Saccharomyces cerevisiae S288C: one gene and its partners. The protein of the gene in region 1 purifies or fractionates together with the protein of each later gene. This does not show direct contact. Each region holds a gene or a part of one and is shown in the gene's direction. Other genes may lie near its edges.

Evidence for each region.
Region 2: the proteins of URK1 (region 1) and LAM6 purify together in Saccharomyces cerevisiae (affinity purification with mass spectrometry, with the first as the bait; one large-scale study listed by BioGRID). This does not show direct contact.
Region 3: the proteins of URK1 (region 1) and BNA1 purify together in Saccharomyces cerevisiae (affinity purification with mass spectrometry, with the first as the bait; one large-scale study listed by BioGRID). This does not show direct contact.

The regions. Positions count from the first base shown.
Region 1 is NC_001146.8:645,179-649,437, forward strand, and holds URK1 (uridine kinase URK1), read left to right. Parts: upstream 1-2,253; coding exon 2,254-3,759; downstream 3,760-4,259. Other genes in the region: DEAH-box RNA-dependent ATPase PRP2, read right to left, coding at 1-1,772; PHO91 (Pho91p), read right to left, coding at 3,850-4,259. UniProt on the Saccharomyces cerevisiae protein: Catalyzes the conversion of uridine into UMP and cytidine into CMP in the pyrimidine salvage pathway.
Region 2 is NC_001144.5:277,177-281,801, forward strand, and holds LAM6 (Lam6p), read left to right. Parts: upstream 1-1,685; coding exon 1,686-3,767; downstream 3,768-4,625. Other genes in the region: RGR1 (Rgr1p), read right to left, coding at 1-1,450; RFU1 (Rfu1p), read right to left, coding at 3,843-4,445.
Region 3 is NC_001142.9:470,280-473,273, reverse strand, and holds BNA1 (3-hydroxyanthranilate 3,4-dioxygenase), read left to right. Parts: upstream 1-1,602; coding exon 1,603-2,136; downstream 2,137-2,994. Other genes in the region: YJR026W (gag protein), read right to left, coding at 1-514; methylthioribulose 1-phosphate dehydratase MDE1, read left to right, coding at 2,310-2,994.

The DNA.
Region 1 (4,259 bases):
ACCGTATTAGAAAGATTTGTTCTTGTGATCTCAGGCTTAGGCATAAGTTCCAACTCGTGCAAATATGACCATTTGGTAAAAATTCTAAAACATTTTCCCGGCCCAACACGACCAGCCCTACCGGCACGCTGATCAACTGAAGCTCTTGAGCATGGAACTGTTAAAAGTTGGGTCATTCCAGTGGAGGGTACGTACGAATTTTCCTTAACAAATCCAGGATCAATGACATATCTAATACCATCAATGGTCAATGAAGTTTCCGCAATATTAGTTGCCAAAACAACTTTCCTACAATTTTCCGGAGTCGGCTGGAAAATTTTCAATTGCTGCTCTTGGGGTAAATTTGCGTATATAGGAGTTATAATCATTTGTTTTGTTCTAGAACCTAATTTAGACATGATCTCCTCCAGTTTGGTTTTTGTTCTTTCAATTTCTTCTTGCCCCGTTAAAAACACCAATATATCCCCCGGTAAACTTTGCGTAGTATGAATTTGAAAAATAGTTGTTATAGCGGCATGTATATAGTTTGCCTCCGGCTGTAATGTGTAGTGGATATCTACAGGATATCTTCTCCCAGGAACGTTGAAAATGGGACAATTATCAAAAAACTCTGAAAATTTTTTTGCGTTCATTGTTGCTGATGATATAAGCAATTTTAAAGTGGGCCTCTGCGGCAAAATATCTTTCAGCAAACCTATCAGGATATCTGTGGCTAGAGTACGTTCATGAGCTTCATCAATCATAATACAAGAATATTTGCTTAATTTGGAATCTGTAAGAAATTCTCTTAGTAACATACCATCCGTCATATACTTTAGAACCGTTTTATTTGGGGTTGTTTTGTCTTCAAAACGGATCTGATAACCCACTTCCTTCCCAAGCACAACATTCATTTCATCTGCTACTCTTGCAGCAACAGAAGTGGCCGCCACACGACGTGGTTGTGTTATGGCAATCTGTAACTTTCCCTGATCAGTGAATCCATCTTCTACCAAATATTGGGGTAACTGTGTGGTTTTACCAGAACCGGTTTCACCCATTATAATCAAAACTTGATTTTTTTTGATCTCTTGTAGTAGCTCATCCTTGTATTGATGTACAGGCAAAAGTTTTCTTGCCTCTTGTATAGTCAGTATACGCTTTTCCTCAGTTTCTAAAGCTTGTGCTAGACGTGCCTCATATTGAAGTTTCTCTTCAGGTAGTAAATCGTCCTCCTCATTAGTATAATCAATCATTGCATCTGTGTCGAACACATAATCGTACTTGTCAGAGCCTTCCAATGTTATATCATCAGGGTGATCGCTTTGCCCCGCCATAGCATTTCGCAATTGTTGTTCTTCCCACATGCGTTGTCTGTTTATTTTGTCAATTTCTTTTGCATTCTTTATTTTATGAGTAACTTCTACGTTAAATTTAGAATTAGAAGAGGCGTACTTAGTTTCATTCTCGGAGTCACCTAGTAGACCCTTCTTTGTAGTAAGTTCATTATTTGACGTTATTTTTTCATCATACTTTGATGACTTTTTTTGTGATCCAAGTTGTTCTCCTTTTAAATTGTTCTTTTCTGGACCTTGGTTCGTATTAGAAAAAACTTTATTGGGGTCATAGCGTGATCGTTTTAGCTGCAAGGCAGAGTTCTTATCCTTGGCCTCTTTGTCTTCTTCCTCACCCAAGGAAGAAGGCTCTATTCTTACTGCATTGTCATTCTGTCTTGTAACTTCATACGTTCGTTTCACTCTTCGCTTACCGGTTTCAGATGTAATACTTGACATGTGTTGCTATACACGCTTGTTATCTATATAGATGCCAATTAAACATATAGCAGCTATCCGTTATTACTTATACAATTGATTAATATCACTTTTTAATTGTCCGGGTAACTAACTGTCTTCCACTTTCAGCACGTTCTCGTCATCAGGTTGTATGGGCTAGTACTGTTTTGGCTACATTTGAGATACGAGCACTTAAAGAATTCTTGCATATTTTCGATGATTAGTCTTTAATTTTCCCACTTGTTCTCACTATTTCCTCTATTGTCTTAATACGCTCACATATCGAAGTTTTTTTTTCATGCGATGAGCTTCGAGATGAAAAAAGGAAACTGAAAAATTTAGATCGATAAGATAAGAGATGTGATTTTTTTTTTTTTTCGTAAGGCTGTAGGCCTTGGATAACGTCTTATTTACTATTTATATGCGACATCTTCGATAATTTCATACGTTTAATTTCGAACTCGCATTTATTTTATTTATTATGTCCCATCGTATAGCACCTTCCAAAGAACGATCTTCATCATTTATTTCAATTTTAGACGATGAAACAAGAGACACATTGAAAGCTAATGCAGTCATGGATGGTGAAGTAGATGTCAAAAAAACAAAAGGAAAAAGCTCTCGGTATATCCCACCATGGACAACTCCATATATAATAGGTATAGGTGGTGCTTCAGGTTCAGGCAAGACAAGCGTTGCTGCTAAGATTGTGTCGTCAATTAATGTTCCCTGGACAGTATTAATATCTTTGGATAACTTTTACAATCCATTAGGCCCAGAGGACAGAGCCAGAGCCTTTAAAAATGAATACGATTTCGACGAGCCAAATGCCATCAACTTAGATTTGGCATATAAGTGCATTTTGAACTTAAAGGAGGGCAAAAGGACAAATATCCCAGTTTATAGCTTCGTCCACCACAATAGAGTTCCTGATAAAAATATAGTCATATACGGGGCCAGTGTGGTAGTTATCGAAGGGATCTACGCCCTTTACGATCGCCGATTGCTGGATTTGATGGACTTGAAAATTTATGTTGACGCTGATTTGGATGTCTGCTTAGCAAGAAGATTGTCGAGAGATATAGTTTCCAGAGGGAGAGATTTGGATGGTTGTATTCAACAATGGGAGAAATTTGTGAAACCAAATGCGGTAAAGTTTGTGAAACCAACAATGAAGAATGCAGATGCTATCATTCCATCGATGAGTGATAATGCTACAGCGGTAAATTTAATCATTAACCACATCAAGTCAAAACTGGAACTAAAATCAAATGAACACTTAAGAGAGCTAATCAAATTGGGCTCTTCTCCTTCACAAGATGTGCTTAATCGTAACATAATTCATGAATTGCCGCCCACCAACCAAGTTCTTTCGCTGCATACTATGCTTCTAAATAAAAATCTAAATTGCGCGGACTTTGTTTTCTACTTTGACAGGTTAGCAACAATTTTGTTATCATGGGCACTTGATGACATTCCTGTAGCACATACGAACATAATTACACCTGGTGAGCATACCATGGAAAACGTTATTGCCTGTCAATTCGATCAAGTTACAGCTGTTAATATTATTCGATCTGGCGATTGTTTTATGAAGTCTTTGAGAAAGACGATCCCCAATATCACAATTGGTAAATTGTTGATTCAGTCCGATTCACAAACTGGGGAACCTCAACTGCATTGCGAATTTTTACCCCCAAATATAGAAAAGTTTGGCAAGGTTTTCTTAATGGAAGGTCAAATCATAAGTGGTGCGGCCATGATCATGGCCATCCAGGTGCTTTTAGATCATGGTATTGATTTGGAAAAGATTAGCGTGGTGGTTTATTTGGCCACTGAAGTTGGTATCCGACGTATATTAAATGCATTTGATAACAAAGTCAACATTTTTGCTGGTATGATCATCTCCAGAGAAAAGTTACAAAATCATCAATACAAATGGGCATTGACCAGATTTTTTGATTCAAAGTATTTTGGTTGTGATTGAGAATAATTAGAGGCAATATAAAGTAAAATTAAATAATAGTGCACGTATACATACTATATTAGTAACCTTTCATTCTCTCTATGGATAATCTTAAAATCCCATTACTTTCAATATGCCATAACCTACTGTAACAATAGCGGCATAACTTAACAAACTGGCTGGTACACCTCTCGTAATAAATGTACCCACGGTCAAATATCTATCACCAACTTCATCAATCATTGAAATGGCAGTCACGTTGGGGAAACCAGAGGTTGGAAGACCCATAGCACTAGAGCATAATAGGGCGGCTATAACGATCAATAGTCTAGAATGATCACCTGAAGGTAGATTGGAACCGATCTCACTCATTAATGGTACGATGATCATTGCCGCGACGGTATGGGAGACAAAAGTGGCCATTACAAGAATCACTAGACCGAAGATCAACACAATAATGAAGATTGGTTCATGCTCAACCTGCGCCTTAATTAACTGTGCCATTGTAGACAATAAACCGG
Region 2 (4,625 bases), on another chromosome or scaffold:
ACAGCTCCGATCTGATGATTCTAGCATGATTGAACATAATTTCATCCAAAATCCCTTCGATATTAGATACAATATTGTTATAAATTACAGGCATATTTTTGGCCCTTGATGCACTCTGGTTGTCCCATTTTAAGATAAGACTTTCTGTTGTTCTTTGAATGCCAATAGTGATCTTACCCTTACTGTCCATTTTCCCATTCAGCCAATATCTAACTGTAATTGTACTTTTTTTAGAGTCATAGTTATGGATCAAATTACTTTTGGAAAATTTACCGCCGTTGGCCAGCTTTAAAAACTCTCTATGAACCATGTATAGCTGTAATGTCAACACGTATTTGTGCAGAAAATTGTATAGGGATAATAATGGATCATTACTTTTCAAAAGAATTTCATTGATCAACTTCTCTAATCTTGGCTTATTCAAAGGAAGGTTATTTCCGTTGGAACTTGAGTTTTCTTCATTGTTCTCACTATCGCCGTTAGTCGAAGTAGCTTCTGTAACTGCTGAAACAGTTTGTTCAGCTTCCGTGTTAAACAACAATTTTAAATCCACAAAAAACAGAGGGGACTGTCTATTAACAGTCGATAACTGGATTTCAAATTCATTAGGGACAGTAAAGTAGATTCTACCGTTTTTGATATGATAGCTGTTTAATGGTTTAGGAATGTTCATTAATGCAATTTTTATTGAGACAGTCAAGTTCAAATCTTTTAATCTCTGTAAAATCAATCCAATGGGAACTTTGGCCATTCCATCTACCATATCCATAGAGTTACTGACACCGCTTAATTTAAAGTTGTGTGTAGGTAGATTTGGCCTCCCAAGACTCAAAACTTCCAAAGCGGTGACCAAATCCACGTTGGGCAATTTAGCATTGGTCATAGAGTTTAGACTGCTTTTCAAAGCCCAAATACAATTGTTGACATTCATGTTAGTCGTTCTAAACCAGTTCAACAGATCGATTAGTACGTGAAAGTTGTTTTGTTTTATAGTACGGGTCCATTTCACAAGCACGTAAAGTTTCAAAAATTGTGTCCTTAGGAATATAATCAGCTGTAAGAAACGTATTTTCTTTGCGGAGTTAGGCTCATTTGCCTGGGTGTGAACATTAGTTTTCATGTACTGAGCAAGTTCCTTCATTGTAAATACCGTCAAGTTCCTTATTACTAATGCCAGACTGACTTGATTAATCTCAACATGCGGCAACGCTGGCGGAGGCGCACTTGTCATAGTCGCTGCACTTGTATCTTTCGGTACCATTTCTAGAGATTCTTTTTGGGTGGCCGTAGTTTCCGGGTCGGTTGCAGAAGGGCCATGCAGTTGAGTGTTCTTAACGGGACCCTGTTGCTCTTGCCCATTCTGCTCGGACCGGTTCTTCAGTGCGTGCATCTCGTTAGAAAGTCTCTCCTCATTAGCCAGCATTTGTGGGGATCCTATCGTGGTAGTCATTGCCCAGCCAAGAAAACCCTATACTTTCCTGCCACTTTTTAACTCTTTTTCTGATGATCTTTACAACAGACCTCTACTAAACAATTGAAAAATTCACCGTTTTTACTTGAACCAGCGACCGTGCGATGGGACAATCGTTTAGTTAACAATAAGCGGGACAAAGTAATTAAATTTAGTGGCATCTAGAGAGAATAATTGAACGCAATGAAGAGAGCATGGTACGTTGAATTGTAGAATGTGGGGGGATAGTATGCGCGAGCTTGGTGACGCTATGGATAATGAGTTGAATGCAGTGAAGCCGGTGGTGGAAGAAGGTGGCATGGATGGTGCCAGAAAATTTATTAAGGGTAAGAGCTTTCAGAAGTCTTCTACCGAACATATGTTGATTTCGCCCGGTAGGGATGGTTCAGTGCCATTGAATGGGTTGAAATCGTCGCCGGCAGACCCGCACTTGTCTGATGTTAATTCTATCTTGGACAATCATCGTGGCGGTGGCGAGACAGCTTTGACGTCTGTAAATAATATTATCATGGCCACTTCGACGAATGGGGACAGTGATGGGGTTGATGGAGATGCCAAGAGGCCGTCTATTTCTAACTGTTCGTCGAGATCATCATTTTTTGACACCGTACTGAGCACGTTTTCCCTAAAATCAAATTCACAAGATACGGTTACTAATGAAGTCAAAAATATTGAGGTCCAGTTTGCATCCGAGGAGGCTAATAAAAAATTCCGCCAAATGTTCAAGCCATTAGCTCCTAATACGAGACTTATTACGGACTACTTCTGCTACTTCCACAGAGAATTCCCCTATCAGGGCAGAATCTATCTCTCCAACACACATTTATGTTTCAACTCAACCGTGTTGAACTGGATGGCAAAGTTACAGATTCCCTTGAATGAAATTAAATATTTAGATAAGGTCACCACAAATTCAAGTGCTATTTCGGTGGAAACCGTGACTAACAGGTACACTTTTTCCGGATTCATAGCGAGAGACGAGGTTTTCCAATTGATTACAAGAGTTTGGTCAAAGGAAAACTTAACCAATATCAATGACGTTTTGGAGGTTGATGAGAGGGTCTCCAAGAAAAAGGGAATATCATCGACCCCTTCTTCCATATTCAACAATGTTTCTACCAATGCATATAACGATTTCATATCGACAACCACTACTGAACCAACAAGCAGGGCTTCCTACATGAGCGAGAACGACATGCTCATCGAGGAGGCCATAAGGTCCGTGGACGATTACATGGGCACACCAAGAGCATCGCCATCTTCTTCATCTTCGTCGTCATCGTCGTCATCGTCTTTAGGCTCTTCAACAACTTATTATTGTAGGCCCGTATATAGGTTAAAGCCAAACGCACCATTTCAATATGAGGGGCCATTCCATGTACAAGAAACCATGGACTTTCCTTATAAACCTGAGGCTAATAATGAATACGTGCTTCTGGAACGTCAATTCAGCGTTCCACCCGGCCTACTTTTCATTATGATGTTCAATGAAGATAATCCAGTTTTTGAGTTAAGCTTTTTGAAAACTCAAGATTCGTCCAACATCTCACACATAGGGACTTTTGAAAAAGTCAATAAAGATGGACAACATTACAGAGAATTCCAATACACCAAACAGCTGCATTTCCCTGTGGGGCCCAAATCCACAAACTGTGAGGTAGCGGAAATTCTTTTACACTGCGACTGGGAAAGGTACATAAATGTTTTAAGTATAACAAGAACACCAAATGTTCCTAGTGGTACCAGTTTCAGCACCAGAACGAGGTACATGTTCCGATGGGATGACCAGGGGCAAGGTTGCATATTAAAAATAAGTTTTTGGGTGGACTGGAACGCATCCAGTTGGATCAAGCCAATGGTAGAGAGCAATTGTAAAAATGGACAAATTAGCGCCACTAAGGACTTGGTAAAGTTAGTCGAAGAATTTGTAGAGAAATACGTGGAATTGAGCAAAGAAAAAGCAGATACACTCAAGCCGTTGCCCAGTGTTACATCTTTTGGATCACCTAGGAAAGTGGCAGCACCGGAGCTGACGATGGTACAGCCGGAGTCGAAACCAGAAGCTGAGGCGGAAATCTCAGAAATAGGCAGCGACAGATGGAGGTTTAACTGGGTGAACATAATAATCTTGGTGCTCTTGGTGTTAAATCTGCTGTATTTAATGAAGTTGAACAAGAAGATGGATAAGCTGACGAACCTCATGACCCACAAGGACGAAGTTGTAGCGCACGCGACTCTATTGGACATACCAGCCAAAGTACAATGGTCAAGACCAAGAAGGGGAGACGTGTTGTAACAGAGTAATCATGTAATATTGTATGTAAGGTTATGTATGTTCGTATGGTATGGAAAAAAAAAAAAAAAAAGGATGCTATGTGGAGAATGTAAGGCGTGGTAGCTCCGGATAATTCAGTCTGTAGGCTTCATCACGGGCAGTGGCCTGACTCTGAGAGCTTGCTCCGGTATTAAGTTGTGCGTTTGAAATTTTCTGGAAAAAAGAAATTGATTGGTTGAAGCTATACTCGTCGAAAGATTTCTTCGGCAGTGGTTGTTGCTCCACCTGCACGGGAGTTGTGTTTGCGTTTATGTTCGGCTTGGCTATATTATTAGCGAGTGATGTTTGCAATTTGCTGTATTGAGAATCAATTTGGGTGCGTAAGCTTTCAATAATTTTGCAGACCGCAGGCACTTCCAACTTTATGAGTTGCAGGTATTCTCTTTTATGAATATACGATGACGACGATGACGACGACGCATCCATGCGCAAAAGCTCAGGGTGTCTAGATAGTTTGTTAGTCAATAAATCCACATATCTAAAATAATAAATAAACGACAGCGACAAGTCGTTGGCCTGGAACGCACACTGTGCCTTTTCCAATATGCCGATGCATGTTTTCAGGTAAATTCTCAATGGTATCGCCGGATTGAAGCGATAATCCTTAGCGTCCTGAACCAATTGCTTACTAGACTTCATGACCTACCGGGGCCAGATAAAGATGCGGAAGGAAGAGAAAAAATGTATAGTGGTTGGTGAACCGCAACAATAATTCGTGCCAACACTTTAATCGAAGCAAAAATTGTCTTGTATGTTATTAATATTATCTATCTAACCATTGATTTACGTATAAAACTGTCGATGCTCATCGCCTAGCAA
Region 3 (2,994 bases), on another chromosome or scaffold:
GTGGTCTGACATATTTTTTAGTGGATGTCATATCAGAGTCCGCTGAGGATGAATCAGTAAATGTATTACCTGACTCAGGTGATGGAGTGCTCAGAGGCGTTCCAACTGATGATGGATACTGCGGAAACTGTGATTGTGGCCCAGGTGGAAAGTACATAGGCGACATTTGATAAGGTGTATACGGAATCATAGATGGGTGTCCGTAAAATGACCAACCAGATGGATTGGCTTGGTTTTGGGTCATCATGCACTGCTGTGGGTACGGCCCATTCTGTGGAGGTGGTACTGAAGCAGGTTGAGGAGAGGCATGATGGGGGTTCTCTGGAACAGCTGATGAAGCAGGTGTTGTTGTCTGTTGAGAGTTAGCCTTAGTGGAAGCCTTCTCACATTCTTCTGTTTTGGAAGCTGAAACGTCTAACGGATCTTGATTTGTGTGGACTTCCTTAGAAGTAACCGAAGCACAGGCGCTACCATGAGAAATATGTGAATGTTGAGATAATTGTTGGGATTCCATTGTTGATAAAGGCTATAATATTAGGTATACAGAATATACTAGAAGTTCTCCTCGAGGATATAGGAATCCTCAAAATGGAATCTATATTTCTACATACTAATATTACGATTATTCCTCATTCCGTTTTATATGTTTATATTCATTGATCCTATTACATTATCAATCCTTGCGTTTCAGCTTCCTCTAACTTCGATGACAGCTTCTCATAACTTATGTCATCATCTTAACACCGTATATGATAATATATTGATAATATAACTATTAGTTGATAGACGATAGTGGATTTTTATTCCAACAGCAACATGTTAAAACGAAAGCTGATGTTTGGAAGCCGTCTCGAGTAGGCTATACCGACATATTTTCCCAGGAATATAAAGGAATTGTTGTTGCGATAAAGTTTGTGATCTGTTCTGATGCTGAAGGAACCTTGTACCCGAGAGAGTATAACTCCCGTCTCCATGATGTAAAAAGACTTGGGAGAACAGGACTGTCATTCACAGATAAAAAGGAGGCGTATTTACTCGAATTTAAAAACCAGGACGTTGTAGATCATGTTCATAAGTTAATCTTGCCTTTTAACACATCTTGGCAATCTAACTAGATTCGTCCAATTGTATTTTTACTTCAATAATCTTACATAATAATAAAAATTTTTCTATTTGTCCAAAAAAAAAAAAAATAAATAAAATAAAAAAAGCTACCGTAATTCATGCGTACAGTAACTGGCTTCCTTACTATACCAAGTTTATTCTTTGATTGCGCTGCCAAAATAGCCTGTCAAAATTTGCGCGGATGTATTTTCGACGTCAACGGTGCCATTATTTTTCTGTCACTGACACCTGTACTCCTGAACGGGTATCGGCATTTAGAACGCTGCCTCCAAATGTCTGGTGAACGTTCGTGAATATTCAGAGTGTCGTTATTGCAATGGAATGGCTGCCTTTGTGACGGCGTCAGGATAAATTGTGAGTCACTGAAACATATTCGGCAAAGTAAAAAAACGGACGTAAAAGATTCTTTCTTTATTCTTTTCACGACAGTCTACAAGTAACTGAAATAGCATACATTTACCAAAAAAATCGAAAAAAATGTTTAATACTACACCAATTAATATCGACAAATGGTTGAAGGAGAACGAAGGCCTTTTGAAACCACCGGTGAATAATTATTGCTTACATAAAGGGGGATTCACTGTGATGATTGTCGGTGGGCCTAATGAAAGAACCGGTTATCACATCAATCCAACTCCCGAATGGTTCTATCAAAAAAAAGGATCTATGCTTTTAAAGGTTGTGGATGAGACAGACGCTGAACCAAAGTTCATTGATATCATCATCAATGAAGGCGATTCATATTTATTGCCAGGAAATGTTCCTCACAGTCCTGTTCGGTTTGCTGATACTGTGGGTATTGTTGTGGAACAAGATAGGCCTGGGGGAGAAAACGATAAGATAAGGTGGTACTGTTCTCATTGTCGCCAAGTGGTCCACGAGAGTGAACTGCAAATGTTAGACTTAGGTACCCAAGTGAAAGAAGCCATTTTAGATTTTGAAAATGATGTCGAAAAGAGGACATGTTTCCATTGCAAGACGTTAAACTACGCACGCCCTCAATCTAATTAAGTATTAGAAGAGTTGTTAGTTGTACTTTTATAGCTCTCTTGTTACGTAAGATTGCGGCACTAAGATGCGGTGCCAATTTTTTTTTTTTTTCTCTTGATCAAAGCAGCTAGCTGTTCATCAAGATATGTAACGTTTTTAAGCACTGAACTAACAAGGGGAGCCAGTGAACGACTATGTCTTCACAAGATGTTCTGATACATTCAGATGATCCGTGCCATCCAGCAAATCTCATTTGCACGCTATGCAAGCAGTTTTTTCATAATAATTGGTGCACCGGAACTGGAGGTGGGATTTCAATAAAAGATCCTAACACGAATTATTATTATCTCGCCCCATCTGGGGTGCAGAAGGAGAAGATGATACCTGAGGATTTGTTTGTCATGGACGCTCAGACATTAGAGTATTTGCGCTCTCCCAAGCTTTACAAGCCAAGCGCATGTACTCCATTGTTCTTAGCGTGCTACCAAAAGAAAAATGCAGGTGCTATAATACATACACACTCCCAAAATGCTGTGATATGCTCCTTGCTATTTGGCGATGAGTTCAGGATTGCTAACATCGAACAAATCAAAGCAATTCCAAGCGGAAAGGTGGACCCTGTGACCAAGAAACCCATGGCGCTATCGTTTTTTGATACGCTGAAGATTCCCATCATTGAAAACATGGCGCATGAGGACGAGTTGATCGATGACTTGCACAAGACTTTTAAAGATTATCCAGACACATGCGCCGTAATTGTGAGGAGACATGGCATTTTTGTTTGGGGTCCGACAATCGATAAGGCCAAAATTTTCAACGAAGCCATCGATTATTTGATGGAGCTGGCCATAAAGATGTACCAAATGGGGATTCCTCCCG